2 linked regions of the Tamandua tetradactyla genome follow. The protein of the gene in region 2 interacts with the protein of the main gene of each other region in a biochemical or structural test. Links are inferred from orthologs where the notes say so. Each region holds a gene or a part of one and is shown on either strand. Other genes may lie near its edges.

The links.
Region 1: the proteins of TNFRSF13B (region 2) and TNFSF13B form a complex in vitro, tested with the Homo sapiens proteins (3 studies listed by BioGRID and IntAct, with this or other methods). The link is inferred for Tamandua tetradactyla from reciprocal best matches to the Homo sapiens genes TNFRSF13B and TNFSF13B.

The regions. Positions count from the first base shown.
Region 1 is NC_135330.1:177,859,300-177,874,850, reverse strand, and holds the start of TNFSF13B (tumor necrosis factor ligand superfamily member 13B), read right to left. Parts: upstream 5,662-15,551; 5' UTR 5,463-5,661; coding exon 5,112-5,462; intron 5,008-5,111; coding exon 4,920-5,007; intron 1-4,919. UniProt on the Homo sapiens protein: Cytokine that binds to TNFRSF13B/TACI and TNFRSF17/BCMA. TNFSF13/APRIL binds to the same 2 receptors. Together, they form a 2 ligands -2 receptors pathway involved in the stimulation of B- and T-cell function and the regulation of humoral immunity.
Region 2 is NC_135332.1:520,828-536,451, forward strand, and holds the start of TNFRSF13B (tumor necrosis factor receptor superfamily member 13B), read right to left. Parts: upstream 6,298-15,624; 5' UTR 6,261-6,297; coding exon 6,242-6,260; intron 1-6,241. UniProt on the Homo sapiens protein: Receptor for TNFSF13/APRIL and TNFSF13B/TALL1/BAFF/BLYS that binds both ligands with similar high affinity. Mediates calcineurin-dependent activation of NF-AT, as well as activation of NF-kappa-B and AP-1.

The sequences.
Region 1 (15,551 bases), on a different chromosome or scaffold from region 2:
TGGCAGTTCTTTGATCCTGGTTTTCCCCACATTTCTGTTTGTAATACTATTATCAGAATGAAGTTATGAAATACATCAAGTGTCCTAGCATTTTAATTTGAACCACAAAATTATTCAGAAAAAGTGAACTGGAGCCAAAGTGCTAAATTTAAAATTAAATAAAAGCAGCGCTTACCCTTGGTAAGACTTGAAGGGTTGACCATCATGTGTCCCTTCATTTACTGTTCAGTTTGTAAATACGCAGTGAACCATAGATTTAAGCCATGTGCACTTTTCAAAATAGGAATAGCACTTCAATTAAAATTTAAAACTTTAAATAAAACCAGAAATCCATGGAATTGTAGGTAAAGAAGTTTCTGTATATGGGATTTTCTATATGACATTTCAGGTGTCCAAATTATGCCTCTACCTGTCGAACAAAGGGAGCCAGAAGGAAGGTACCCTACAAGTGACTCATTTCTCCCCCAAACTCTTCCATCTCCCTGCACCCCCTACCTGATGGTCCAGCTCACCTTTTTTTTAAAAAAAATTCTTTTATTGTAAACAACAAACACACGTACAAACGTTCTTGAAATGGTTACAATCAAGTGCTCACAATATTATCACATAGTTGTATATTCATTACCATGATCATTTTCTTGAGCATTTGCATCTCTCCAGCAAAAGAAATAAGAGAAAAGAAAACACTCATACATGCCATACCCCTTACCCCTCCCTCTCATTGATCACTAGTATTTCAAGCTACTCAATTTATTTTAACCTTTGTTCCTCCTATTATTTGTTTATTTCTTATCCATATTTTTTAGTCATCTATCCATACTATAGCTAAAAGGAGCATCAGACACAAGGTTTTCACAATCACACAGTCACACTGCAAAACCTATATTATTATACAATCATCTTCAAGAAACATGGCTACTGGAACACAGCTCTACAGCTTCAGGTACTTCCCTCTAGCCACTCTAATACACCATACACTAAAAAGGAGATATCTATATAATGCGTAAGAACAACCTCCAGGACAACCTCTCGACTCTCAGCCACTGATACTTTATTTTGTCACACTTTTAATTAGTTGTTTTAAATGTCACCTTAAAATATTTCATAGGATAGCCTCTGATCAAAACTGGAAAACGAAGAAATAAGGGAAAATCCAAAATAAAAATGATGTTAGATCATCCCACAAATCATTCTATTTTGCTTCAAATTGAGTCTGAAACTGATCAATAAACATTTGTAGAATGCTTAGTGAATGCCTGTTTCAGGAGAGAAATAACAGAAAAAGAATTAGGACCCAGACCACAGGAATTCTCTACTATGTAATTAATTGTACAGACTGGACATCTACAGATGAAGAGGTCGCCTTCCTTAGTGGTATGTAATAGGTGCAATAAAAGAGAGAAGTGTTTGCTGTGTGCTAGGAGGTCAGGAAAAGGTTTTCTGTCTTAACATGCTAGAATTCAAATACAAATTTAATTTACCCAAGATAAAATTGAGATTTGGGTTGAATTTGCAGGGTTGAAAAAGTAACATTCTGCTTTATTTAGCTATGTAAATTGTTGACATAATTATAAACTGATACCATTATTTATAGAAACCAGAGAATTTTAGGGAAAAAAAAGTCTAGGACAATACTATGATTCTGTTAAGTATAAAGCCATTAAATAAGTTGGCATGGCTTTAAAATACACATAAGGTAACATATTATATCATTTATTTAAAGTTTTATAAATTTTTTAATAATTTTTTAAGCTACTTGAAAATGCTAAGACTCCGTAATAGCAACCAAAGTCAAAATACTTTTTAAATGAGTTTAATGAAAGAACAGGGAAACCTATAAAAAGAAATCTGAACAATTTTTTGGGAAATTTAAAATTAGATTTTAATAAAGATATTACTTAACATATTTCTGAATATATAAACTACATAGTGTAAAAATTCATTTCTTTCTTCAGTTATTTATAGTTTTCATTAAAAAAAACCAATGACCTTAAAACATATATGGAAAAATGACCACATAAGAACATAAAAGAACATTTTGAAGGTAATAGCAACCACCCAAGTTTTTTGTGTCTTTGAGAATAAATAAGGATTTGAATGGATACAAAAATAAAAGAAAAACATTTAGAAATTTCCCAATTTCAAAAAAGACACTAATAAGCAGGGAAAAAAATCATTGAGTTTCAGACAAAATTCTTGTGTATTTACTTCTAAATATACTTTAGAAGTATATTACTTCTAAAGAAGCAGAAAATTTTCTCCCACAAAGGAGAGTATCATTCAAGTCATTTTCACTGATAAGGAATGACAGGTAACACCTATTAATACTTTGAATGTATGAATATTCCTGTATTGATTTCATTTAAAAATCACCATTATAAATGTATATACATGTGTGTTAACAATAGAAGAAAGGCTTTGTAAAAAACCTAAGGAAAACCATGAAAATGACAATAGTGGTTGTAACTGGGCTCTGGAAGTTAGAGTGTTTTGTTTTTTCATTTTGTTAAAGCTTTCTGGCATTGTCCAAACTTTTTACAAATTGCTAATTATTGGGGGAAAATTTTGCATCAGCATACAACTGTTATATGCCATAATGCACAAATACATAAAAATATATAAATTTGTTAGAATGAAACAAAAATATTAGTAGAGGATTTGGAGGAAAAGGGACTCTGGGAGTTTTGTTTTCTTACTCTACTATTTTTTTCTTATTAAATCTGCCATGATAAGCCTTATATCATCTTTAGAATGTAATATTTAGAGGTAGGAGGATAGTATCAGATAAGGTTGAAGAAGACCTAGGAATCCTGACTACGAGATACTGGAGCCCATTATAACACAAATTACTTCAAATAGTTCATTTAATGCAAATAAATAGAAGAGTAAATCAATGAAACAAAAACAGAGAGTCTGTAAATAGATTTGACTATTTTGAGGAACTTAAAAAAACACAGTAAGCTTTCCTAACACAAAAGGAGTTAAAAATTATTTAATAAATTTGGTTGAGCTATTTAGCAACAGTTTAGGAAGGAAAAAAAAAGAAGAAATGAAGAACTTAAAACAAGCATGTCAAGATACATCACAATAGGCACCAGAAGGGTTAATGAGTTAAAATCTAAACTAAAATACTAAATTATAAGAAATTCAAAGTAGCAGAAAGTAGAATAGACTACTTAAGAGATCCTGAAAGAATATTCTTTCAGCTTTGATGTATTAGAAAAATAAAAGGAAAATATTATTACATTAAAGTATAGACATATAAAATCTCTGTATAATTTTTAAAGCAGCAAAATATTATGAAAACTTTGATAAAATTAATACATCTAATATATAGTTTATTCCAAATTATAAATAATTAGGACGACAAATGGTAGAAGTTATAGATAAAAATTAACATGATAAAATTAGAAGTAAAATATGGAGAAAGAAGTTCATTTTTATTTGCAAACAAACAGCAAATTAAAATAAAATTGAGATACTATTTCACTGTTACTAATCTAGCCAAAATAGATTTTAAAAGCTAAAATGCTTGTAAGACTATAGAGAAACAGACACACCACCTTGCTTGTTAAATATATTTATACTCATTCTGAAAGCAACATAGCAGTATATAACAAGGGTCATAAGGATTTCCATTTTATTTAATTCAGAAATTCCACTATACAGAATTTGTATAAAGCAGTTAATGACTCAGAAACAAAAAAGATCACTGTAAAATTTTAGCAAGATTGTACTGTATTGTAGCAAAAAATGGAAATAATTGTGTTGAAAATAGTAGAATAGCAGATTAATGTACATGTATGAGAATTACTTAGAAATAGGGTAAATACAGATTGTATAATAAGAAAAAACAAAAATATAAAATAATAGATATGCAGCACTATTTTTAATTATTGTAGAAAACAGATGAAAATAACTGATATATTAAAGCAGTAATATTATGCCTGTTTCCTGGTTTAAAAATTATTAAGTCTAAGTGTTTCTGATAATTGGCATAAAGATATGAAAATCAGATAACAAAGTTATGGTTTTATAAAATAGGGGAGAAGGTTTTTCATAAATAAGGTATATAGTTGAAAAATAAATGGATTTGTAGGCCAAGCACTTTGTGTGTGTGTATACACATGTGCGTGTGGATTATAGAAAAGCACCTACCCTACCACTGAATAGGTCTCACATCTTTTCTCAGAAGAGAAAATATGAAATATTATGGTGCTCAAAAATGCTCTTTCAATATAAAAGGAAGATAGTATCAAGGATTTGTGGACAACATCCTAGATTATAATATTAATAAATACAAAACAAATACTGTTCTTCATCTGTGAAATGAAGGAACTAGAATTGATTATTTTGATAATCCCTATCATCTCTAAAATTTTATGAATTTATGAAATTCTGTGGAATAAGTGGAACATGACGAAAAACAGAAATCATGAAAAAACTATTAGAAGATTATAAACGTATGGAATTCCTGGAAAGCCATAACTAAAAAAAAAAACTTGAAAATCAATGGGTGTGCATGCGCATTCACAAGCCTGCATATGTGTGCAAAGCATAGCCTCCCACTCTAGGATCTTCATTTGGTTTCACAAAATTCACCCTTGGGAAACACTTGTCTTTAATGACTTTCTATGACCCATGTAGACAAAGTCTAATTCTGTAGTGAGATGAAGTGAACTCATTGGAGGCCAAAACATGCTGTGGAGCCCATTGAATTTATCACTGCCACTGCTAGGGTTTTGCTAAAAAGCCAAGTCTGATTTTGATGGTAAATTTCATAGTCTCTATTTAAGAGGTTTCAAGAGATTATTTCACCTCTATTCCCCTAAAGTTGCTGCTATTTTCTAAACCTGTGAACACTGTAATCCTTTGATACTGAATGCTAAATTCTGAATGCTCTTGTCCCCCAAACTTACCTGTGTCTTCTGGACTCTGAATACCACGTTTACTCCTGCTACTCTGACTGGAGTTACTTTCTCCAGGAACTGGTGGTGCAAGGATCCCCTGTTGGCAGAAAAATCCCAAGTTATTGAAAAGACAGCTGGCATGGGGGAGAAGCAGCAGGTTAGGAAGGATTGTATCTGGAACTGCAGCTGCCCATAACTCACTTCAAGTCCCGTGGTGAAAGCTGGAGTTTCCGGTAAAGCTGCCGTGGGGGCTCCAGCTTCTGCCTTAGGAGAGACTGGCAGCTGCTCAGCTTGGTAATATCGCAGTTCCGCCCGGAGGCTCTCCAGCTCTGCTTGCAGGGTGGCCACTCTGTAGAAAGACACCACTGTGAGGGAGAGGGACAGCAGCGTCAGAAGCAAGGTCACTGACAGGAGCTTTCCATCTTTGGAGAACCAGGCAGAGGAGCTTTTCTTCTGGGGGCGAATAGACACCAACTCCTTAAGTTTCATTTCTTCTCTTTTCTTAAGGCAAGAAGAAAGTCGTAACTGCTCCTTTTCTGTGGAGTCAACCATTTCACTACTTGAACTTTGAAGGTTAGGGCCTTTAAAATAAGTGACCACAAGGAATGGATCATTTCCTGTTATCTGTGTTTGTTGATGTCCTACATTTAACACATCACAGAGCTTGGCTCTCTCTGTCAGGAGAGATCTCCTGAATTTTCTTATTTCTTCCCTTCTGCATCCCTGCCCCTCTGTACAATAGGTTTTACTGGCATTCGCCCTTCTATTGGATTGCTCAATCAGTCTTCCTCATTTCACTTTCAGTTTTTGTAAGAATTTTAATGGCATCTCAAAACAATCATATACAAATTCGCCCCTTAAATCCACTGACTAAACTTTGAATTTTGATTAGCATGTGCAAGAGATAGCTTTAAGATAATGTAGATGGTTAAGAGCTCACCCTTAGGCATTATTAGAGAACAGTGTCTAGTTGAGGCCAAATGACTTTGTAGGGAAGTGGAACGAGAACATAAAATGTTCCTGCTGGTGTAATAAAAATAATTAATGTGAAGGTCAGATAAGCTAAGTGCCTTAGCATTGACTTGTCCTCAGTTGCAGCTGTGATTTATTAACAGTTATCAAGTATGAAATTTTAAAAAGGAATCCTCAAAGGAGGAATGGAAGTCAGCTGGGTGTTATTATTTTAACAACGTATTAAAAAGAAAGTGACTAAATTTTAGAGACAAGTTTAGATTAGGTATGAGGAAGGCTATTGGGGGCGAATGCATTTCTAAAGGAAATGTACACAACCTTTTTTCCTGTTCAGACTCATTGGATAGGTAATCAACCCCTCCTGATGAGTCTGTTTCCTGTCTTTCCTGATTTGGCTTCTGAAGCCTCAAATTCCAACTCATCCTGCTACCATGTTGAGGAGAAGCTGGCCTTATTTCCACGCCTCATGGAACACATCAAGTGTTCTTACCCTCAGGTAGTTTACCTACTAGCCACACATATTAGTTTGACTGCCAAAACTGAAGATTATGGAACCTGTCCTGACTCAAATAAGAGCTAGTTCTGTTTCAAGAGCTCTTTATTGTTGCTGCCCAGACTATTCCACCCATTTTAATCCTACCTGTCTTTGACCACTGACTCTTAGCCACATCCTGGGCTCTGGCTGCTTTGCAACCAGCCCAGCAACAAAATATTGATTTACCAATCAACAAATATTACTGAGTGCTTGCCAAGCCCTGAGCTAGGCTGTAAAGACCCAGGGCCCAGGTTCTGCCTCCACCTCTATTTTGACAGCAAGTCACATAGCCACCCATATGACCTAAACAGACCTTAAAGGTCAAAGGATGTCTGACCCCTCCCCTAATATAATCTCAGGAGCATCTGCTGAAACTCCATTGTAACCAAATCTTGCAAGACTGTTAAACTTCATAAGCCATTCCTGGGCACCCCTCTCTCTCTTTTTCTCTCTTGACTTTGGGCAGAGTGCAGACTCTCAATTCCCCACCATTTGCCATTGGGGAAGATCTTCCTCCTGTCTGTAAGTTCCTAATTAAACTCAGAGCTGAAACATTTGTTGAGTCAACCAGGAGACTAAAGAGCTGCCAGCCATAGAAAGTATGAGTCTGGGGAAGGGGGGATCTGTGGGGTTAATCCCAAAGTGGACTGCTTCTTTAGTCATTCACTTGCTTGACTGTGTTGCAGTCAGTTGATCATCATATGCAGTGTGGCCAGCTACGGCAGGCTGTCTTGGGGAAGTCAGAGAAATCCACAGGTCTGTGGGGGCCATGGCAATGGACTGGAGAAATCAGCAGATTGAGATGATGCATTGAATGCAATTCATTGAATGTCTTGTAGATAAGAGTTAGAAATATTAGCATCTTGGCATGCTAGAGTAAGGGGGCATATCCTGACTTCCCCTGACTGGGATACCATAGATTGTTTATCTGATAATGAAAAGGAGGAAAAAGAAGAAATTTGGGAGGCAAAGGGTGGAGTGACTCCACCTTTGTATGCTGTGTTTCCAAAGTTTGCCTCATACTTACAAGGAATTAGGACTTAATTCTTTAGTATTCCCTTAAGTAAGGTCAGTCAATCCATTTTCATCTTCACCTGGGAAGGAGAACAAAGGAATGTCATTGTAGTCCCACATGGCTATTCACATAGCCTGGCCATCTGCCATGAGCTCTTAGCAAAAGGATTTGGCTAAATGGAAAAATGTAACTCTATTTCATTATATTGATAATGTGATGATGTCATGTTAACCAGTAATTCTTTTCCAGAATTAAAATAAAAGCCTTATTGTTATTTCATCTTAACAGTTAGAGATGGACAATTGATCATGGTATTCTGCAATGCCTTGGCTGCCTGTAAAATCTTGAGTATTGTACAACTGGAAAAGGCAAAATTTATTCCTTTAGTAGTAATTGATGAGGTACAATGTTTTCATATGCTGCATATGCCAAAACAACTAGTGGCTTCCTTGGGATTATTGGAATATTGGAAACCTTTCTTCCTCACTCAGCACAAAAGTTAAAACCCGTATTTGTTTTGATTAGGAAAAGCTATCCTTGGGAATGAGACACCTCCCAGCACTTTTGAAAAAGTCAGATGAGCCGTCAGACTGGCTCAGACTTTGTGTGGAGTGGACACAGATATGCCTTGTGAATCAGAAATGGCTACTACTAATATTAGCTTTGGGTGGGACTTATAGCAAAGGTAACAGGCAAAGTGAGTTAAAGAACTGAACTGTGGTCCTGTCCCTTAAGAAAACAACTGTGTGCTGCCTATAATGCCTTCTGTAAATTGAAGGATCAACTCAGAAATGTCCTGTGAAATAAAGAAGAGCCATCCTCATATAGGGGTGGATACGGAACACTCTCACTAAGTTTCACTCTAGCAGTGTACAGTTGAGCACGCTAATGAAATGAAAAGCCTATCTGCTACAGCACAGCATTCTCAACAAAAGCATCTTAAGTGCAGAAATGCATATCCTGAGACTAGTTCGTTTCTTATGTGGAAGAACAACACTTGCCTCTCCCTGCTGATCCTCCTGAAGTGGCTGTCTCTATGACCACCATTGATGGATATGGCAGTATTCCTAAATCTAATGGATCAGCACAAAGGCGGTCTGCTGCCTGGAGGGAGTAGCTGTGCAACCTAGTATGGATACCATATGGAGGGAAGCTGGGACTATGAAAAACAGCCAGTGGCTGAATTAAGGGCTGTATGAATAGTCATTGTTCACAAGCCAGGAGATGCATGAACTATCTGTGCTGACAATTGGGCAGTGTATCAGGGCCTGACAGTGAGGACAGCCACATGGTAGCAAGAGCACTGGCCTGTCGTCTGCCATCCCTTATAGGGAAAAGAAATGTGGGAAGATATTTGGAGTACTTGCCATAAGGGAAAAGTACTGTGTTTTATGTCTCTGCCGATAACACTGATTCTTTACCTGGCAATATTGAAGCAGACAGTTTAGCAAAAATTTGTAGCCTAAAGCCAACATCGCACAAGGCTGTTGAATGGTTGCATAGAAAGAGTGGACACCAAAGGTACTAGACTCTGTGGAGACTGGCACAGCAATTCCAGCTGCCCATCTTTAGACAACAACAGAAAGAAGTGGTAGATGCCTGCCCCTCCTCTTCGCTGTGATGCCCAAAGTTGCTTCTTCATCATCTCCACCACATTAGCCACAGGAGGGTTCCAGTTACCAGGTGGCAGGTAAATCAGATTGGGCCCCTTTCTTTAACTGAAGGTTCAAAATATGTCTTCATAGACATAGATACAGCCCCTGGACTGTTGGCCTCACCAGTAGGGAAATCTAAGCAAAGAGTGACAATATATAGCTTTAGAAAATTTAGAAAAGCTCAGTGCATTATTTGGGGTCCCTCACACATGTGGACAGTGATGGGGGACTCCCGTTCCTGGTCAACTAACCCAAGCCTGAGTACTGAGCATGACATCTTATGGACATTTCATTCGCTTTACAATCCCACAGTAGCAGGGTTAATTGAAAGGATGATGGGTTTTTTAAAGAGCAATTAAAAGATGATAGGCAATCTCTGCAGCAGAGGACATGCAGGTTGTATCCGGTCTTCACCAGCCTCAAATATGGCCCTGAGCAGCTGCTCCCACTCCTATTGTATTGGTAATGGAGGAGCCCATGCAGGTGCTGCAAATTTAGATAGAAGAACCAGAAGTACTACAGCCACAATGAGGCAATGAACATAACTTGCTCTTGCCTGTGCCACAAGCATTAGAAATTGGGGAAAATAAGTTGATTGGCCATGGACCTGGTCAGTGCAGTCATGTTGGTTGGGAGTCCTATGTCCCTGGGGTTCAGGGCTTGCCCAAAATATAAGTATTAGAGCACAGTTTATACACAAAATGTCAACAGTTGTACATGTAACCAACCCAGGACCCCTCATGCCCCAAAGCACAGTATGTATGACTCTGTGGATATTTATTATGCCTAGGCTAACTGTGAATTTGACTCTAAAAAGCTCCCTGCAATTGCAAGGAGAAATGGTGTGGTATTTGTCTACTAATGGAAATTTAGCTGTATTCTTTTGGTACTTAATGTCGTAGCAAATACCTCTCTGCAAAAGGCTTCTGCAGTGACCTACATGCACAGTAGACCTCAATGCTGAGTGTGCACTGAACTGCCACTGTTAGGTGCCACCGGCCTGCCATGGACTGTGACCCCTGGGAACTAGACTGTGTAGATACCCTGCTGGCCTGGCAGAATTCAGCACATCAGAAAAATCTGAAGAGAATTTTCTCATTTAGGATGAAACCACAGATAATTTCATTAATTGTCAGTAAAATGACTTAATTCCCTTTCTTAGCCATGTTGGCCTCAGTTCATGGAGTCATCTCTGTGGAGGGAACTCCTTATATTCTATTGCCTTATACTGTCAATGAACGCAATGTCTGTACCTTGGTCAAAGTGGTCAGCTGCGTGGAGATGGACTGTAAGGGCTCAGGGCCCGGGCCTCACCCCCTCCTCCATTTTGTGAGAAAGTCACACAGCTACCTGTATGACCTGGACAGCCTTTAAAGGTCACAGATTGTCAAACCCCCCTCTCGTAACAATCAAACCTCACTAAGAGTCTGCTGAAACTCCATTGTAACCAAATCTCATGAGACTGTTAAACCTTATAAATTGCGCCCTTCTTTCTCTTGTTTCTCTTTTGGCTTTGGGCACACTGCAGACTTTCATCTCCCAACCAGCTGCCTTTGAGGAAGAGCTTCCTCCTGTCCATAAGCCCCTACTCAAACTCTGTCTAGCGTGTCCTTTGGTCTCAGGGCTGGGCTGGACTGGAACAGAGGCAGTACTCCCCAGACAACTGGACATTAACTGTATCTCATCTCTATGTTTCTAAGCAACTGTAAGAAAAGACACTTACAGAAGTAGTACAAGGAGAAGATAAGGACTCTTCGGTCAGGCCTCCAGGGTTCAAATCCTGGCTCTACCACTTAATTGCCTTAAGCAAATTTCTTAACCTTTCTGTGATTCATTTTCCCCACCTGTAAAATAAGACAATAATAGTAACTATCTTTCAGAATTGTAGGGAGGCTTGTATCACAATATTTGTAAAGTACTTATGACAAGGCCTTTACAATATTAGAAATTAATCACATTATTGTTCTATAATTGGAATTCCCTTTTTCAGGGTTATGTTTCTGAAATTTACCCATAGTTCTAGTGCATTCATTTAAAACTGTCTATTTCATTCTATTGTAGGTGGGAACTACATTTAATATGCTTCCATCTTTTCATTATTACAAGCAATGCTGCAATAGACATTTTTGTTCATGTCTCTTTGTAACATCTACAAGGGTTTCCAAAGTAAACACCTGAACTAGAGTGGACACATCTTTACCTTTCCTGGGTGTCAGCAAATTACTTTCCAATGAGTACCTATTTCCTTATCTTACTGTCACATGATGTGGTCAGGTAATTGTTTTTGCTTAACTATTGAGATTTTTTTTTTCCTTTGCTTCTGCAAGCTCAAGAGAGCTTACTTTATGACAGAATAATACTTTGGCACCCCAAATAAGCTGCTCTCTGCTTGCTCATGAACAAGTATGTGTGCAAACTCTTTTGGATCAGATATCACATAATGCCATTCTTTCTCCTTGTTTCCAGGTCAATCAAGGTGGTGCATACCGGACAATTTTGTGATAAAAAATAACTGTGTGGGGTTTTATTAAACTCTTCTGGTGAAAGTAGTTAAGATTCATTCAAGTCATATATATTTAAAGATATTAATATTACCTAAATGCATATAGAGCTAAAACTAGAAAGGTATTCAGGATTTTAGGCTAGAAACCAAGTACTCTCTACTTCTCACTTATGACCAACTGGAGTCACTGGTTTGCTTGTTTTGTGTACATCAATATTCTTTCTCTTTTGACTGACCAATCCTCTTCATATTCTCTAGGAAAAAACCTAAAAGAACAGGGAACTAATTTGATCGTAATGGGAATCACCTCTGCCTGCACTTCTCTATTGAGCAGAAATCTTCATACCAGACCATCTCTAGAGTCACTAGCCAAACTATATTCAGGGACCTTAATAATAAATACCTTATGTAGAATGGAATGATATCTTAATGTTTTGTTTGTTAATTTTTTTTAATTAATAAAAAAAGTTTAAAAATAAATAAATAAATACCTATTTTTGGCTCAAATAGTGGACAGTCCTATGTATAGAATAGGCTTGTGCTTCTTCCACTGAAAGGCAACTGTGGGGCTTCACCTACATGGCTTCACCCTGACATGAAAAGCAGGCACAGCGATTTGCATGTCCTCTGCAGGGATTATAAAGTTTAAATTTATTGGGTGCACAGGTGGTTCAGTGATAGAACGCTCGCCTTTCATGTGGGAGACCTGGATTCGATTCCTGGACCATGCAACCCCCCCAAAAAAAATTTTCTCTTAAGACAAGTAGATATGAAGTGGCATTCATGCCCTCTTGAATTTCTTATTCAAGGGAAACAAAAGAAAGTTATTACTCCATAAATCAAGAAACTGTTTCCTGCAGGAGAAATGGTTTGGCAATAATTTAACTGAAATTCTGTTAAATAATTAGCATATTCATTTTCACTGAATAACCACACTATGGGTTTATTCTCAGGAAAAAAGCAGTTATACCTGAGCCACAGAGACTAGAGTGAAATTTATATATATTCAATTTTTACTGTCAGTATTTAATTACTATCAGTAATTGATAGTTATTTATTTATGTTTTTTACATGGGCAGGCACCGGGAATCGAACCCGGGTCCTCTGGCATGGCCGGCGAGCATTCCTGCCTGCTGAGTCATGTGGCCCAATAATTTATAGTTTTTTAAATGTATTTCTTTTTCTCAACTCAAATGTAAAACATTCTGTTGTAATACATGAATACCAAATTTACAGAGATACAATGTTTCTTGAGATTGATAAAATTGTCCCATACACTCATAAGTAGAAAGATAAGATAATGTGAGGATATGCTTGAATATAAATTAGAAGTTTATTCGACGGACAAAATTGTAGTACAAAACAAACATTCCCTGTTTGACAACTTTCTTCTTACAATGACAACTTCAAAAAATATTCAAAAACTTAATTAACAAGTCCTGGCTAATTAGTACTATGAAGGATTAGCAGGTTTGGGGGAACACTCCTATATGTCTTTCTTTGAGGAAAGAGATGTTTTTCTTAAGGATTTGAACCACTCAAATATGGAAACATAGTTTTTCTATATATGGGGATGTACCTTAAGTATATCTAGGTAAAACTGCCATTCCAAAGTGTTCAGAGCATGGAAAATATTTTAATGCACATAATTATTACATATAAGAAAAATTATGTTGTTTTCTGGAAAGAATATGTTCTAGTTTGCTAGCTGCCAGAATGCAATATACCAGAAACGGAATGGCTTTTAAAAAGGGAACTTAATAAGTTGCTAGTTTATCGTTCTAAGGCCAAAAAAAGTCCCAATTAAACGAGTCTATAGAAATGTCCAAATCACAGGTATCCAGGGAAAGATACCTTAATTCAAGAAGGCTGATGAAGTTCAGAGTTTCTCTCTCAAGTGAGAAGGCACATGGTGAACACAGTCAGGGTTTCTCTCTCAGCTGGAAGGGCACATGGTGAGCATGGCATCATCGGCTAGCTTTCTCTCCTGGCTTCCTGTTTCATGAAGCTCCCCGGGAGACATTTTCCTTCTTCATCTCCAAAGGTCACTGACTGTGGACTCTGCTTCGTGGTGCTGCAGCATTCTCTGCTCTCTCCGAATCGCCTTCATTCTCCAAAATGAAGAACTTTTTACTTTTATAGGACTCCAGATACTTATCAAGACCAACCCAACTGGGTGGAGGCATGTCGTCACCTAATCCAGTTTAACAACTGCTCTTGATTAAATCACATCTCCAGAGAGATGATCTGATTACAGTTTCAAACATGCAGTATTGAATAGGGATTATTCTATCTTTATGAAATGTGATTTAGATTAAAACATGGTTTTTCTAGGGGACATACATCCTTTGAAACCAGCACAGAATACATATGTGCTCAGTTGCTAATATAGTAAAACTTGATTTGGAAAGCTAAAGGCTAAAATCTCTGCATAATTTAATTGTTGAAGCAAGTATATGTTATTAAAAACACAACTCTGGTGTTTTCTTATGCACAAAAATAATCTAGGTGACTAATGATACTGATTTATACTTCTTAATGGTTATACTAAAAAGATGAGTATGTATGCATTTACTGGGGCTTAATTGCTTTTACTGTTGAAAGAAAAGCTTTTGTAATAGTTACAACCCAAGGGATGCATATTTCAGTTTCATGTGTAAACACATCACTAATTTGTTGTTTAACTGCTTTCAGATTTAATGCTCTGGAATCAAAAGGTTACAGCATGTGTTTTTAAGGAATTTTTGTCTATGTCAATAGTAGTTTCAAATGTAGTTAAGTTTTTTGCTGTTCTTTACAATGTTTACAAGAACAAAATGTCATTAATATCAATATCAATATGAATCACTCATTTTGATATTTCATATACATGAATGAATTTTTATATTTTATGCCCACGAACACAAAGAATACACACTGACATACTGGTGTACACGAACAATACTTGCTCAGATTAAACAAGCTCAACAACATTAAATTCTACCCATGAGGGAAATATTACTTATGACATCTTCTCTACCTTCAAATATCAATAAAACAGTGTTAACAAACCTTTTTAATAACTTATTTGATAATTTTGCTTATTAAAAGTGCTGGCTCTGAAATCAGACATGTCTGTATCCCCAGTTCGGCGTCACCATTTTAGCAGAGTCTCCCCAAATCTGAAAACTGCCTTTGGTTAGAGCTCTATCTTTCCAGGACACTGATCCAATCTCTTGCTTAAGGGAAATTCTAATTGTTGCACCCACATTGCCCCTGATTGCTGAGGGTGGGTATACGGCAGAGTTTATTTTTGAAAGCAGATGTGAAGAATGGTCTCTTGGGGGACTTCTGAGAAAGAGTTCCTTACTTTTAAAGAGAAACATAAGGGAGTGCATGGGTGGTTCAGTGGCAGAATGCTTGCCTTCCATGTGGGAGACACGGGTTCCATTCCCCAACCATGCACCCCAAGAAAAAAGAAAAGAGAAACATAGGAAGAGATAAAGTTCGTTTTCTGCTGCATGTTACAAGTCTGTATGTGACAGCCTAGTACCACAGCAGTCAGACCATAGCAGTCACCCTGTCCTATTGCTGATGCCTAAACTAAAATGTGGAGGATAGAGTGCTGCCTGGGTCTTAATTGACCTTGTCATGCTGCTGAATTAATTCTTTGTGTTTCCTGTTTGTGAACTTTTAATTATATTGGGTAGTAATTTTTTCCTTATTGTTTAAGCCAATTTGAGGCACCTAAGATTGGATGTTAAAGTAAAAGGCATGCTAACTAATTCCACTAGTTTGAGAATGTTTATATTCCTACAACCCAAAAGCTTTGTGTAAGTCAGTTTTGAATGTTGTTTTTAGAATGTCCAAATTTCATCAATTATAAAACTATGATACAAGAGAAATGTTTGCCATCCATAGACTAGAAAAACTCATTCGTTTATTAAGATGTGTCTTCTTTCAGGTCTACTATAAAGTTAAG
Region 2 (15,624 bases):
CTGACCTAATAGCTGAGCATCCATCAAAAGATGTTTTATGTCCACTGAAATAATCACACATATGTGCATTAATATTGTAATGCTGAAATTTCGCCTCAGGAATGACATTCTAAAATGAATACATTCTCTGATGCAGGGATTTTCAACAAACATCTAAATTTGATGCAAAGCATGGGTATCTCAAGTCAACGGTTATCGTAAATATTGTTCGTACTAGAAAATGTCATTAACTGCTTCGCCAATTAATGAATTACTAAAGTAAAACAAAACAGAACAAAGAACAGGGTGGTGCTGGCAGAGGATGAGAGAGCAGACCAGTGGAATCATTGGGAGTCCGGAAATAATTCCATTCATCTACGGCCAATTTGTTTTTGACAAGGTGCCAAAACCGTTAGATGGGGAAAGGATAGTCTCTGCACTGGGAAAACTGGGCCTTAACAATCAACAGAATGAAATTGAACCCCTACCTCACACCATATACAAAAATAATAATAATTCAAAACGAATCACGACCTACATATAAGAGCTGAATCGAAAACTCTTATAGGAAAACACAGAGGTAAATCCTCATCATTTTGTCACTGGCTCCTTAGGTGATACCTAAAGCACGATTGGCAAAAGACAAGAAGGGATAAAATAGACCTCATCAGAATTCAAAACTTTTGTGCATCGAAGGACGCTTATCAAAAAGTGAAAAGAAAACCCTCAGAACGGGGGACCCAGACTCACTCTGAGAGCTGTGCGGGGCTGTGACCCCACCCACGCAGGATGCACATCAAGGACTTAATGAAGTCCTGAGGGAGCCCGCCAGCGGCTGCCTCGGTTCCCTGCTGCCTTCCCGCCATGTGGAGACCTGCCGGCAGCCGTGCGGTGGGAGCACATGGGAGCACCCAGGGCTCATGGTGGGAGGCCCAGCGCTGGGGCCACCCGGGTTGCCTGGGGGAAGGCTCAGAGCTGCCCACCTGAGGCCCCTCATCTGTACAACAGGCATCGTAAGCTTTCCCTCGCCAGCCCCTCAAGGGTGTGGAGGCCCAGCACGGATGGGACGCAAGGCTGACAAAGAGAGTCGCGGCTCTGATGGAAACAATAGAGCACGTGATGGATTACGAACAGTCACTTTATACTGACACATGATGATCATGGCATTAATAACTATTCATAGTGGCATAGCACCAACTTAGAGCGCCAGCTGGGAAGTGCTCCCAGGACCTGAGCTAGGGCTGAAGTCGCCATTCTCCAAGGACACCTGTCCCGGGGGCGTCTCGGGGGCCCCTCCTCGGGGCCTGCCTCGCTGGTCACGAGCCCCAAGCACTCGCTCCCTGGGTTGCTCCTTGATCTGTAATGTGACACCATAGGCTGCAGCCACACCTCCTCCTTGCAGAGCCTTACCCCAGAAGGCAGTGCCTTCAGAGCACCGGGTATACTGCCAGTGCCGATTAAATGCTTGTGAGTGGTCCGCCACCTTGCACACAGACATGCCCCGTGAAGGCTTGGTGAATGAAAAGGCCCCCCACCTTCCTGCCTTGTACCAAAAACAGGTAACAGGTGACTTTCCTTGTGCCCCGCTCAGCCTGCCCCCCCTCAGGTGGAAGTTAATCCTGGGCACCTTGGCTCGGGGGTGCGAGTGGGGGGGGACATCAGAGGGGGAGCAAAAATCCTGGCCTCTGCTTTAGAAACTTAGGAGGAAGGACTGTTGGGACAGACAAGGTGTATTAGCCAGAAACAAGCATACAGAATAATTTCTCTTAGATAAAAAACAGCACAAAGATTTACGTGGGAAGGAGAATTGTGAAAGTTCTAGAGGAACCATTCAATAGTTTCTTTATAAGGCTGGAGCATGAAGGTCTTTCCAGCTATGACCCCAAATCCGAAGCCATAAAAGAAAAGGCTGACAAAACAGACCACATAAAACAAGCAAACCAGAAAGTCGAGGGATTTAGCCAGGAGGGCAAAATGAGAAATTCACTGGAGCAACGTATTTAACAGCAAAAGATTGGGAGCAACCCAACTGAGTGAAGTGTAGTATACTCACACATTAGGTTATTATGCAGCTATAAAAAGAAGGAATGAGCCAGTTCTTCACACACAGCTATGGAGACAAATGCAACCATATTAAACGGAAAACAAGAACAAGGCATGCATGGGCTCTGTTTTTTGCAAAGAAGGAGGGACGTTATAAAATCTTTATTTTTAATTGTTGGCATTTGCATGAAGAAACCCTGTAATGAAACACAGGAAACCAAAACAGTGGTCTAAACAAAATACAAGAAGGGCACGGCTCGCACATTGAAAACTACAAAACACTGACGGAAGAAATTAAAGAAGAGCCAAATAAGTGGAGAGACGTGGATTGGAAGACTTACTGTTGTTAAAATGGCAATACTACTTGAGGTGATCTAACCACAAATTCAACACAATCCCAATCAAAATCTCAGCTGGCTTGTTTGCAATTTAACAAGTTGTTCCTAAAATTCACTTGAAAATGCAAGACAACCAAAAATAGCCAAAACAATCTTGAAAAAGAACAAAGTTGGAGAACTCACACTTCCTGCTTTCAAAACTTACTGCAAAGCTGTGGCACTCAGGGCAGTGTGGTGCCGGCGTAAGGACAGAAATACAGACAAGGGAGTAGAGTTAAGAGCTTGGAGAGTCCATTTATGGCCACTGATTTTCTACCAGGTGCCAAAACAAGTCAATGGAGAAAGGAACAGTCCTGTCAGTAAACAATGCCGAGTGCCCATAACTGGATTTCCACATGCGAAAGACCGATGCTGGGCACTTAACTCCACGGCACACACAAAAATCAACCCAAAATGATCGAAGACCTAAATGTTAGAGCTAAAACTGCAGAACTCTTATAAGAAAACACAGGAGTGAATCTCTGTGATTTGGGGTTAATGACACCAAATGCACAAACAGTAAAAAGAAAGATTGATAAATTGTATTTTATGAAAATTTAAACGTTTTGTGTTTCAAAGGACACCATCAAGAAAGCAATTTGCAAATCAAGTAGCTGATAAGGGTATAGAAAGAGCACTTAAAACTCAATAATAAAAGGACAAATAACCCAATGTAAAAGTGGGGGAAGGCTTTGAATAGAAATATGTGAATGGCTAATAAACACACTAAACGATGCTCAACCTCATTAGTCGTTAGGGAAATACCAATCAAAACCACCTCACGTCCATTAGGATGGCGCTGATGAGAAAGATGGACAACGAGTGTTGGTGAGGATGTGGAGAAACTGGAACCCTCATATGTAGCTTTTGGGATTATAAAACGGTGCAGCCCCTTTGAAAAACATTTGGCAGTTTCTCAAAATGTTAAACACAGTTGCCACAGGAACCAACAATTCCACTTGGGTCTCTGTTTACCCAGGAGAAAGGAAAACGTGGGCCACACAAAACCTGGACACCAATGCTCACGGAAGCATTGTCCACAAGAGCCCAGAAGTGGCAACAACTCACCGTGTCCATTAACAGATAATGGATAAAGAAAATGTGTTCTAACCACACAGTGAAGCTTATTTGGTCACAGAAAGGAATGACGTACTGATATTTTCTGTAACCTGGATGTACCTGGAAAACATTATGCTTAGTGAAAGAAGCAGCCACAAAGCACCAGGTATTGTAGGTTCCACTTATATGAAATGCCCAGAACTGGCAAAACTGCAGAGACGGAAAGGAGACTGGTATTTCCTCAGGGTGGGGGGTGGGGGATAAAAATGCCCTAAAACTGAATTATGGTGAGTGGCAGTTCACCTCTGTCACTGCACTGAAAGCATTTAGCCACACACCTTAAGCAGGAGAACTTCATGGGGTGAAATTATATCCCAATAAAGCCGTCAGGGGAGGCAGGAACTGGGGATGGGGAACAAAAAGAAAGGAGGAGTTTTTTCTGTATTCTTCCTATACTTTCTGGTTTTCAAATCACGTGGTATGCCACCTGTTTAGAAATCACCAGGAGGAGCTAGAAGGGAAAACCTGAAATTGTGGAACTGCAACCCATACTACACTTAGAAATCTGTTGTATAACCGCTTGTTGAAATGTACTTTAAAATGCATTGCTTTTCCTGTGTATATGCTAGATCTCACAATAAATAATGTTTAAAACTGAATAAATGAGGGGGTGTAAGGGTGGTTCAGTGGCGGAGCTCTCACCTGCCATGTGAGGGACCCGGGTTCGATTACCGGTCTATGCACTTCCCCCAAAAACAAACAACCGAAACAAAGAAAAAACAAATAAAAAGTCAACAAATGGTGCCGCAATAACGGATTATTCACATGGAAAAAGAATGAAATGTGACCCTGTCATACAGCATACAAAAAATTTTTTTTTTTAATGAATAAATGCCCCTCAAAAAAATCACCAGGAATGGATAAAGTGAAAGAGACCCTGCTCCCCTCCCACCTGAAGGGGGAGTGGCAGGGAGGGCGTCTCACTCTCTCTGACACACACACGTGCACACACATGCATGCACACACACACGCATGCACATGCACGCGCATGCACACACACACACACACACACACACACACACACAGCCCGGGGCGGCTGTGGGCGGGAAGGTCGTCCCTGCTTCCTCTCTACCACCACCTAAACCCCGAAAACCCCAGAACCATCATCCACCCCCAAAGAGGGCCCAGCTGGGGAGAGGCTGGAGAAAGAAGCCCGGGAGAGGTAAAGGGGCCAGGGGAGAACGCGCTTCCACTCGCCGGGGCTGGGGGCTGGGCTGGGCCCCAGGGTCCAGCCAGGATGAAGCAGCGGAGAGTCTCCGGGGCCACAGAGAGCAGAGAGGAGCCAAGAGGCAAGGGCCGGGTCTCAAAGGAGCTGCCCCGTTTCCCCAAACTGCCTGGGCTTCGTCACAGTGACCCACAAAAACAGCTCCCCTGCCAGCTTAGGCTGAAAAGTGCTGCGCTGAAGAGAATCAAGGCCTTTTTTTTTTTTGACTGCAGGCCTTCTCAAAGCCTTTGCTTGTGACTCTTCAAGGGGTGCTTTGGCAGGTACCAAGCCCTTTCTGGTTGGGGGACCCTCTGGCAGGCCAGAGGCCCTTCATTTTAAGGTGGAGGAAGTGGAGGCCCAGCAGGGGAGGGAGCTTGTTCCAGGCCCCAGGGTGGGTCTGCGAGCAGGGGAGCGCAAAGCAGGTCCCCTGGGCCCTGCCGGGAGTCGCGGCTGACCATCCTGCACACGTGGCTTCGCCCCCACCAGCGTGGCCCTGGGCTGGTCCCTGCCCTATGGTGCCAGCCGAGCCATCCCTACTCGCTACCCTGTCCAGCTCTCAGAAATGTGTGGGGGCACGGCCGCTGGACACACAGGGGGTCAGCGAAGGGACACGTGCCTCCCGAGGTGGGGGAGAGAGGGTGGCCGAGAGCAGCTGGAGGCTGTGCTGGGCAGCCCCAGGCCCCACCAGCCCCGGGCCTTGGGCACAGCCCGTGTTAGTTACTTACACTCCCAGCAAAATTGCATCTTCAAATCAGCCCATACAGCCCGCCCTGAAAAAATTCCATGGGACCCAGTTTCTTCACCAGAGAAGGAGCAAGGCAAAATACAAAAAAAGGAGCGGGAACTGTCTCCAACTAAAACGAAAGCACGATGCTGTGCTTGAAATTAATGCGACCGAATCGCACACTTGAAGGTGGTCAAAATGGGACATTTGAAGACACATAGAAATTTATGACAAATTTTACCAACGTTTTGTTGTTGTTGTTTTTATAAAGGATCTGAAGAAAAAAAAAAGTAACCAAAGGTGGGCTCTATGCAGACCCCCGTTTCAGTGAATGAGCGGGACTAGATTTATAAGGCAGCCAGGACCGCCCGGGAGCTGCCCGGCGTCTAGCGGCATGAAGGAAAGTGGGTGGCACGACGGTGAGTCCGGTTTTTTGGGCCCTTGTGTTTGGGAGACACACCCTGAGTAAACCCTCACCAAATGACGCGCTGTTCGTTAGCTTTAAAGTAATGCCGGGGCGACGAGAGGGGAATGGGGGGCCCGGTGATGGACAGCTGGCTGGACACAGGCCATTACAGAAGCTGGGGGCGTCTGCGGGCTTCTTTCCCGCTCCCTGCTGGCTCTTTGCAGCTGCAGCTTTAAAATGAAGCGTTGAGAAGGGCCACGTCCAGTCCGGCCTCGACCCCCTTCCCTGGACTGCCTGCTCCCCCCCCCCGCCCCGGCTCCCAGGGTCTGGGCTCCCAGCAGGCAGGGCCGGGGTAGGGTCAGGCTGCCCGCACCCACCCAGGTACTCACAGCGCGCGGCGAGGCTCATCCCTCGGGACGCGGGTCTGGCCGTGGGGTGGCTGGTGCCTCGGTAGCCCTGTCTGGGTTTTCCCCCACCCATGAGATGTAAATCAGCAGCCCCCGCCTGCCCCGCGCCTGCGCTACCAGGCCCAGAGCAGCCCAGCTGGGGCTCCTTCCGCCCCCTCCCACGGTGCCCCTGGAATCCCACCCCATCTGCGCCTGAGCACCTACTATGTGCAAGCAGGGAGCCAAGGCCCTGCTCATGCCTGGGATGTAGAGTAAACTCTGTCCTGAACTCAACCCTTCCCCATGTCTGCTTCGTCGCCTCCTCCTCCTCCTTCTTCCAGGCTAGGTGGAGGGGTCACCTCCTCTGGGAAGCCCTCCCTGACTGCCCCCACCAAGGTCAGTGCCACTCTCTGGGCTGCCTCTAACCCTATGAAAGCGCTGGAGAGGACAAACCCAGAGACAGGCAGACGGGGTTTGAATCTTGGCTCTGCTGCTTACCGGCTGGTGGCCAAGGGCAGTTTCCTTACCCGCTCTGGGCCTCCATTTTCTTGTCCTCACGGTGATGAGAAGGAAGTGAGTTAACCCAATAAAGTTCTTAGCATGAGTCCTTGGCCTGGAGTCAGTTCCCAATAAACAGAGCCAGGACAGAAAGCTCTTACTACACTGTTGTAACCTTCTTAACTCTGAAATCTCCAGTCTTACTCTAACACATCCCACGTACTTCCAGGTACAATTTTTATTCTGCAGCCAAAACAGGCCGATCCGACAGGTAAAGGCAATTTGCCCTACCTGCTCCTTTTCTCCAAATCTTAGCAACCTTCCCACAAAAGCTAGAAGGAAGCAGAAATCATCCATCTGTGCCCCCTGGGGGCGGGCGGGTGGCCTGCCCCTCTCTCCTCTCGCCCATGCGCTGGCCTCAGGTAACAAGATGTGGACACATAAAAAGTACTGTCTTCTAAATTCTATGCGGAGTAGAATTAAACACCACCTGGGAATTAAACATTGTTTTGAGGGGCTCAAAATTTAATTTATATTTAAATTACACAGACATGACACATTTTGACAAAGAGCTGCTGTGCAATAATCTCGTGATGTTATTTCTTTTTGCTTGTTTGTTTTTAAAGCTTTTATTCTGGTAACAAATAGCATAAAATTTCCCATTTTATCCACGTTCAATGATACAATTCAGGGGTGTTAATTAAATTCACAAAGTTGTGCCTCCATCACTATCATCCATTATCAAAACTCTTTCATCACCCCAAACAGAAAACTCCACGCCAGCCAAGCGTAACTCCCCTTTCCCCATCCCGGCCCCTGTGACTAGTAACTTGAATCATCATTTCGGCCTCTATGAATTTGCTTATTTGTCCTTTTGTACCTGAGTTTTTTCACTCAACATGCCTTAAAGGTCCATCCATGTATCAGAACTTCCTTCCTTCTCACAGCTAATAATATCCTGCTGTACATCTGCACCGCCCTTTGTTTAGCCGTTCATCGGTTGAGGGGCATGTGGGTTCCAACTGCGAAGAAGGCCACTGTGGATTTCCGTGTGAAAATACCTGTTTGAGCCCCTGCTTTCAGTTCTTTTGGGTTCACTCCTAGAAGCGGAATTGCCAGGTCATATGGAACTCGATACTTGACTTTCCGAGGAACCACCGAACTGTTTTCCACGGAAGCTGCACTCTTTTACACCCCGCAACAGTGCCTCGGGTTCCTGTCTCTCCACATCCTCTCCCACACTTGTCATTTTCCTTTTTTTTTTAAAGTAACCATTTTAGTAGGTATGAAAGGCTATCTTGTGGTTTTATTTGCATCTCTCTGATGGCTAAAGATGTGAGGCATCTTCTCATGAGCTTACTAGCCATTTATATATCTTCTTTGGAGAAATTTTTATGGAAATTTTTTGCCCATTTTATTTGGGTTGTTTGTCTTTCTTGAGTTGTCAGAGTTCTTTATATATTCTAGATATTAAGCCCTTATCAGATACATATAGTTGCCAAATATTTTTCCTTCAATCTGTAGGTTGCCTTTTTACTTTTTTGATAAAGTCCTTGGATCCTCAAAAGTTTTTAATTGATGAAGTCACGTTTACCTATTTTTTGTTTGTTTTTTTTTTTACATGGGCAGGCACCGGGAATCGAACCCGGGTCCTTGGGCATGGCAGGCAAGCATTCTTACCTGCGGAGCCACCGTGGCCCGCCCCCTATTTCTTGTTTTGTTGGTTGTACTTTGGGTATAAATTCTAGGAAAGCACTGCCCTGCATGTGGTCTCGAACATGCTTCCCGATGTTTTCCTCCAGGAATTGTATAGTCTTGGTTTTTATATTTACGTCTTTGATCCATTTTGAGTTCTTTCCTTTTCATTTTGGTTTGAAAAATAACATTTAAAAAATTTTTTTAAAGTTAATTGTGCAGTATAGAAATCAGAAAAGCACAGGAAGGAAAGAACGCAAAACTCATCCAGAATCCTCCGAATTCACAGCTAGGCCTCTCCTCCTAGCCCCTTCTGTGTCGCGCACGGCTGAGCATGCATTGTTGTGTGGCTGCGATCCCACGGAATGGGTCATGCTTTTTCATGAATATTTCGAGTCCCAAAGCCGTGAGGATTGTAACCAAAGTGCAGGACGCCCCGAGTCAACCTTTGAATGCGCTGCGGGACGGGTGTCTCCCTTCTCTCGTGCGGACACAGTTCCCAGCACCCTTTGATGAAGAGGCCGCACTGGCGCCCTTCTCAGAGGCCAGCTGGCCGTGGATGTGAGGCCCTGGTTATGTCTCTGATTCCCCTGCTCCCTGAAACCCAGCGCAACTTTTGGGGTGGCTGAGAATGGAAGGGCAGCGCTCCTTCGTCACCCTTCTGTCCAAACCTGTCTTAGAGGTTAGGAACTTGACCTACTGTTTCGTTTTCTTTGATGTGAGGTGCAATTTACATGCAGTGAAACCCCATGCGTGCTTCCACCCTCGGAGCTGCTGCCTTGGGGACCCAGACGAGCCAGGTGCACCCCAGAAGGCTCCCTCAGGCCCTTCCAGGCAGTAGAAAGCGCCCCACCCCACCCGGAGGTAGCCACCCCTCCGGCCCCTTGCCAGAGACGCACGGTGCCTGCACTTGGCATAAGTGCATTCATCCTATGTCCACCTCTTTCTCTCCATATTGGATATTAATGAACTGGACAGAAGCCAGCTGCGGCCTCGGCGGGGGGTGGGGGTGTCGCTGCATCTCCGGGGGGGGCCACGCCAAGCCCCCAGAATAACCTGGAGGAAGCACCCCAGCCCCCACCAGCCCCAAGGGCCACACGATGTGGGGGTGTCACTGCGGGGTGGCCCGGTGAGCCCCTGGACCTGCACACGTGGGGTCCCTCGGAGCAGGGGAGGGTTCTGAGCCCCCCAAGCCTCACTCTGCAGCCCTTTCTGGGTTTTCTCCAGAGGACCCGGGGTCCTAATTTTTTAACATTGTTCATTGTGAAAAATGACATAAACTCAAAGTAAAGAAAGAAATACTTTTCAAAGCACACTTCAACAAGTAGTTACAGAACAGATCCCAGAGTTTGTCATGGGCTACCACTCCACCATCTCAGGTTTTTCCTTCTCGCTGCTCCAGAACCTGGAGGCTGGAAGGAATATCAATATAGTAATTCAGCAGCCATACTCCATCTGTTAAATCCCATTTTCTCTGTTATACCTCCTCTTGTCTCCTCTGATCCTTCTCCCAATCTACAGGGATCTTTGGGCAATGTCTGTTGTGACTTTTTCATGTTGAGAAGGGATGTCTACTGAAGGAGAGGGGGATGGAACTAATTGATAATTCTGGAGAGGCTGGTCCCTCTGGGTTTCAGGAGTCATCTGATCCAAGAATCCTCTGGGAATATATGTTTCAGGGAGGCAAACCTAGAGATGAAACCTCTACAGAGTCTCAGTTCGAGCCCTAGGTGTTCTTAAGAGTCAACAGGAGTGATGGTGGTTGGGGTTTGGCTGACATGGGAATCAGCACTATCTAACTGAGGCTTGCGTGACGGCAGCCTCCAGAGCAGCCTGTCGAGTCGACTTTATTTCTTTTGGCCACTGATGCCTTAGTTTATTACATTTCTTTCCCCCTTTGGGTCAGGAAGGCGTTGCCCATCCCACGGTGCCAGGGCCAGGCTCATCCTCGGGAGTCCCGCCCCACGTTGTCAGGGAAACTTTCACCCCTGAGGGTCACGTCCCGGGTGGAAGAGTCAGGATTCCATGTTTACGTCTCACAGTCAAGGTAGCAGGAATCTGGGGCCCAGAATAAAACCACCAGGCTTTCGGAGCTGACACCTGTGCATATGTACGTCTGCCCAAACAAATGTGCTCGTGGTGAGAAAAAAATGAAAAAAGGGAACAGAAGGAAAAGTACATTTCTCTCCAGCTGAGATTACCCAGTCCCTACGCAGAGGCCCTGGCCATCGGCAGAGCTTGTCCCCGCGCTGTCCGGCAAGCCCAGGCATTTGGGAGCCTTCCTGAGTAACCGCATTATCTGCTTTGCCTTGCCCCACCCCCTTTCTCACACAGCCATGGCCCTCTGTGCACTGAACGCTGTGTTCAGCCTCTTCCTTTCTTTCCTGGCACACACAGCCGATCGTCTGTCTGTTTCAACGTGCTCTTAAAGTGCAGAGACAGTGGTGACAGCAGAGCCTTCTGCAGCCCTGCCCGCTGCAGCGACTGTTCTCACCCCCTGCCCCGCTGCAGCGACTGTTCTCGACCTTTGTCTGCTCACCACACGTGTTTTACCTTCTGACTGACGCGGGGTTTCTCGTCCTGGGGAGGGAGGCTTTTGGCCGGTGTTTGCCAGTGAGCAGCTCAGATTTAAACAGGGACAGCTGTGAAATGGCTTCTCCTAAGTTCCTCAACCTGTTCTATATGTGGCATCTGGGCAGTGAGAGTTTCTGTCAGGGCCGCTCGCCGCCCCTCGCAGGCCCTTGGGACCTCGCTGGGGACACTTCTCCCGCCACCCGCCAGAGCAAGACAAAAGCAAAAGTGTCCAAAAAAAGGGTATTTCTTAGAAATGCAGTGAAAGCCCCAATTTTCATTATTGCAATTTACACACATTGGCTCCGTCTCTTACACTGAATGTCCTTCGTTCCTGCAAATCCCCCGGTTTGGACAAAGTTCTCAGAAACACTAGAGGCCATTAGTTGAGCCAACTTTGCTTCCTAGACAAACGGCGCTCCTTTTCAATGAAAGCCCCAGCCTTTCCGGGGAAGGGCAGGTTCCTTTTTTATTTTTAACCTCCCCCACGTTGGGGGTTGACTGGGCCCCACCCCCGGCTGGGGTGCCCCCAGGTGAAGGAAATGGGGCTCAGAAAAGAGAAGCCCTGGGGCAGCAGAGGCTGGACAGGGCCTGGAGAGAAAGGGGCACCCGGGGTGTTGTCGCATGATGGAAACCCAAGGAGTCCAGGGTGGGAGGCCCTCGGGGGAAGTGGCCGTGAGCCGGGAAACCCCTGACGTTAAGCCCACCCCGCGTGTGGTATTTGTTAGCAGCTGGGACACTAAAACGCCCCTAAACGTGAATGTAAGACCGAAAGTAAACTACAATGCACACCCACAGCACTTCCAACAAGATTTGACAACTAGGAGAACGGGGCGTGTGAGTTCTTTTTCCTTTTTATTTCCTTTTCCGGGGTGATGCACATGTTCTAAAAAATGGTCATGGTGATGAATGCACAACTGCGTGGCGACATTGCGAGCCGCTGATCGTACACCAAGTGTGCCCTGTGTGGGGGTGAAGATTTCTCAATAAAAACATGTTTTAGAAAAGCGTCAGCATGCCCATGTTCTGAGAGGTGATGTGGGGATGAATACACGGTGAGGTTGTGAGCTATCGATCATACACCAAGAAGGAATGACCGTGTGGTAAGAATGTTCATGTTCGTATGTTGTTATGCTTGAGAAAAACTTAAAGATTTTAAAAAGAAAGGATTCAACAACTGCTCGCGTGAAGTTCCCCTGGAGCTGGGCTCGCTGCCTTTCGGCAGAGAACCTGGAGAGCCCCTGCGGCCCGAGCTGGGGGGAGGCCGGGCCCCTGCACAGGCCGCGCTCACAGCGTCACCCCCGCCGTCTAACGAAGTCTTCTGTGGCTGATTCTTCCAACAGAGTGAAGGAAACGGTCACACATCGGGTTTGACCATTACGGCCTGGAGTCGTGGTGGGTTGTTTTCTTTTTTCATTTTAGAACAAGCCCCTCTTTTTCTTTTCTTTATTCTTGTTTTGTTTGTTTGGCGTCGACCCTGCAGAAGCTTGGCCACTGTCTCACAGCCGCCCCACACCAGGACCCCTGACCGGTGGCCCCCGGGACCTTTCTCGGCCATTTCCTGGAAACCGAACGCGAAGGCGACGGCTCGTGGTGGCTTCGGGTGCAACAGTCCTGGAGAAAGGACGGTGACGTCACGGGCTAGTGAGCCGCGCCCAGAGGCACAGCGACCACCCCTGCTCCGCGTGGCCTCTCGCTGCGGGGTGACCCGAGTCCCGTCAGTGGAGCACGGACCCCTTCGCTACCGGTGGGGCGACTCTTTGGGGATTGTGAGTGACTTGTCCCCCAACAACCTTTCCCTTGACAGCTTTAGAGCACCTCAGTCATCCTTGGCTGCAGCGAATGTCACACTGGAGTTTGTAAGGTGGTGATGTTTTACTGTGTGTTTTTATAATTAGAGAAGTTGTGGGTTTGCAGAAAGATTGTGCAAGAAAATACAGAGTTCTCACATTCCTGCCCCACCTGCAGCATGTTGCAGAGGGTGGTACCTTCGCTACCCCCGATGGGAGGCTGTTGGTATAGTTGTACCACTAACTGCAGCCCCTGGTTTACGCTGTGGCTCAGGGTAGGTGTCGTCCAGTCCTGTGGTTGTTTTGTTTTATAATTTTTATTCTGGCCACATATATGCCACCTTCTCACCACATTCAGGTATATAATTCCCAAAATTGGGACATCAGCTCACATTCACACGTTCAGGTGCTTCCTCCCTTTTAGCTGACGCCCAGTATTCCCCCTTCACCAGCCCCCTCTGCGGGGGAGCATTCAGGATGTTCCCATTTTCCCGCTTTTACAAACCAGGAAGGCCTCTTTGGGGTTGTCTGGGGGACCCTCCAGGGGTTCACTCACAGCAGGTCTCTGAGTTGTGGGGTCTACACTTCCCAGTGCCTCTGGACACGGCCATGCAGACCCACAGCTGCTCGCCAAGTGGGTGGGTGCACCCAACTCCCTGTCTTTGCCAGCTGGGGCAGTGCCGGGTGTGGAATCTCTGGCCAGTCGAATAGTGGCCCCTGGCCCCTGGCTGCTTTCCTTTGCGCTTCTGAGTTCGCAGGCGGCTGTGTCCCAGCCATCCCAGAGGGCAGCGGCCACTAGTTCCACGAGCCTTGTGGTCTTCAGGGAGGCCGGGGGGCTTCGAAGAGGGCCATGGAGCTGGGGCGTGCTGGCCAGCAGCGGGAGGCCTGTCTGTGGTGTGGGCTGCTGGAGGTCCTCGGCCGCTCCTTAGCGAGGACGGGTCCTTCACAGCCCTTCCCAAGCCAGTGGAGACGCGACACCTGCTAATGTGTGAGTGGATGTCAAGGAAGGAATAATGAGGTTATTCTCAATCCATCATGTCCCTTTATTTGTGCTAAGAACAGTACTCAGCACTTGTTACTGGCTTGCCACGAGTCCAGCACTTCACCTAATTTAATCCTCTAAGGAATTCATTTATTAATATTCCCATTTTACAGAAGAGGAAACTGAGGGTCAGAGAGGTACAGTGACGTGCCTAAATCCCCCAGTGACCAAATCCTTCCTTTTCTACTGCATGGCCTCTCCATACTCCTCCCACCTGCCGGAAGTTCCCAGAAAGGAGAAAAGATGGATTTTTACTAACGGAAGCCAGAGTTTGGTTCTCCTGAACCCCTGTAGCTGCTAGCCGAGCAGCTGTCTGTTAGGAAAAAGTCAGATAGTTCCTGGGGCTGTGGAGCAGGAGGCCGAGGCGGCCGTGTAACGCCCGTCCACTGCTCAGGGACGGGAGAGCTGTTTCCGTTCACTGCTCAAGCAGCCGCCAGGCGATGGGTGGGCTAACACAATGGGAATCTTTTGGCTCATGGCCTTGCGACTGGAGAAGCCCGAAGTCTGGCGTCGTGGCCCGGCGTGTGGGGCTGCGGGGCGCCTTGGCCTTGCTGGTCCCGTGGTAGGTCCACCGCGTGTCTCCCGGCCTCTGCCTTCCCTTCCGTTTAGCTGCTGATCAGCGCTGGGGCTCCCCGTGGCCTGCGCGCTCTCTCCCTCTGTCTGTCTATCTCTCTGAATTTCACTCTGTCTATAAAGGACCCTGGTAACTGGGTGAAGACCCCACCGGCTGAGTGGCCCCTTGGCTGAAGGAGCCTCGTCCAAAGGCCCTGTTCACTGGGGTCTCGCGTCCGGGCGCCTGGCTCCAGCCACAGGGCTGGGGGCCCCCACGGCTTGGACACCGGCTGTAACCAGGATGGGTGGGGGATGGCGCCATGGGACCCAACAGGGAGAAGGTTTTAGATCTTCAGTAGGGAGCAACATGAGACCTGTCTCTCTCCTTCTCCCTGTCTGTCTGTCTTTAGCTCTGCTCTCTAACATTCTCTGTTGCCCGTGCGCTGTCAGAGAGATGTTTGCAGACTTTCTCAAGGCAACCAGGACTCGAGAAGAGAGGAAGCTTCCAGGGGGGTGAACTCTCGGGTGTTCCAGTCCCGTCTGCCCACTGTACAGATGAGAACGCTGAGGCACTGGAAAGAAAGGGGGTTAACGGCGAGGCCCTGGGCTGGTGAGCCCCAAAGGGTCTGACGTGTCCTCAGGACCCAGCAACGCGCTCCCCACGTAACACACATTCCATGAACATGCGCTGAGGGAGTAAGGCTTGGACATGAAAGGACAAACATAGTAAGCCCAAGCCCCGGGTGAGGGCTCCTCTGGCCTCTGCTGGGTGGAGGGCGGTGGGGAGGGAGGTCACTGAGCCAGTCCCGAGAGGCCGAGCGGGGCCCGTGGCAAGGCTGTGTGACTCGATGGGCACCAGGCCACTGTCCACAGATTGCCGGGGCCCGGAAAGGGGAAGCAGTGGTGGAGGACGGTGCGGAAGCCACCTGCCCCTCCCTTGGGTCCTGGCCCTGCCCTGCGCCCTTCCCTCAGTCCCCCTGGGGGTGGGACCCGCGGGCACACGGAACCTCTGAAGACTGTTAGGGCGGGGCCCAGCCCAACGTGAGCGGAGCCTGGAAGCTGAGGGAGCTTGGGCCCAGCGGGAGGAGACGGAAGGGGAAATGGACAGACAACCATGTGACAAGGCGGAGAGAACATTCCGGATTGCAGGCCAGTGCTTCAGGATACTGCAAGCTCCAGAGAACGCGCGGCCCTGTGGCCCCTTTGGACTTCCAGCCTCCAAAATGGCGACATAAATC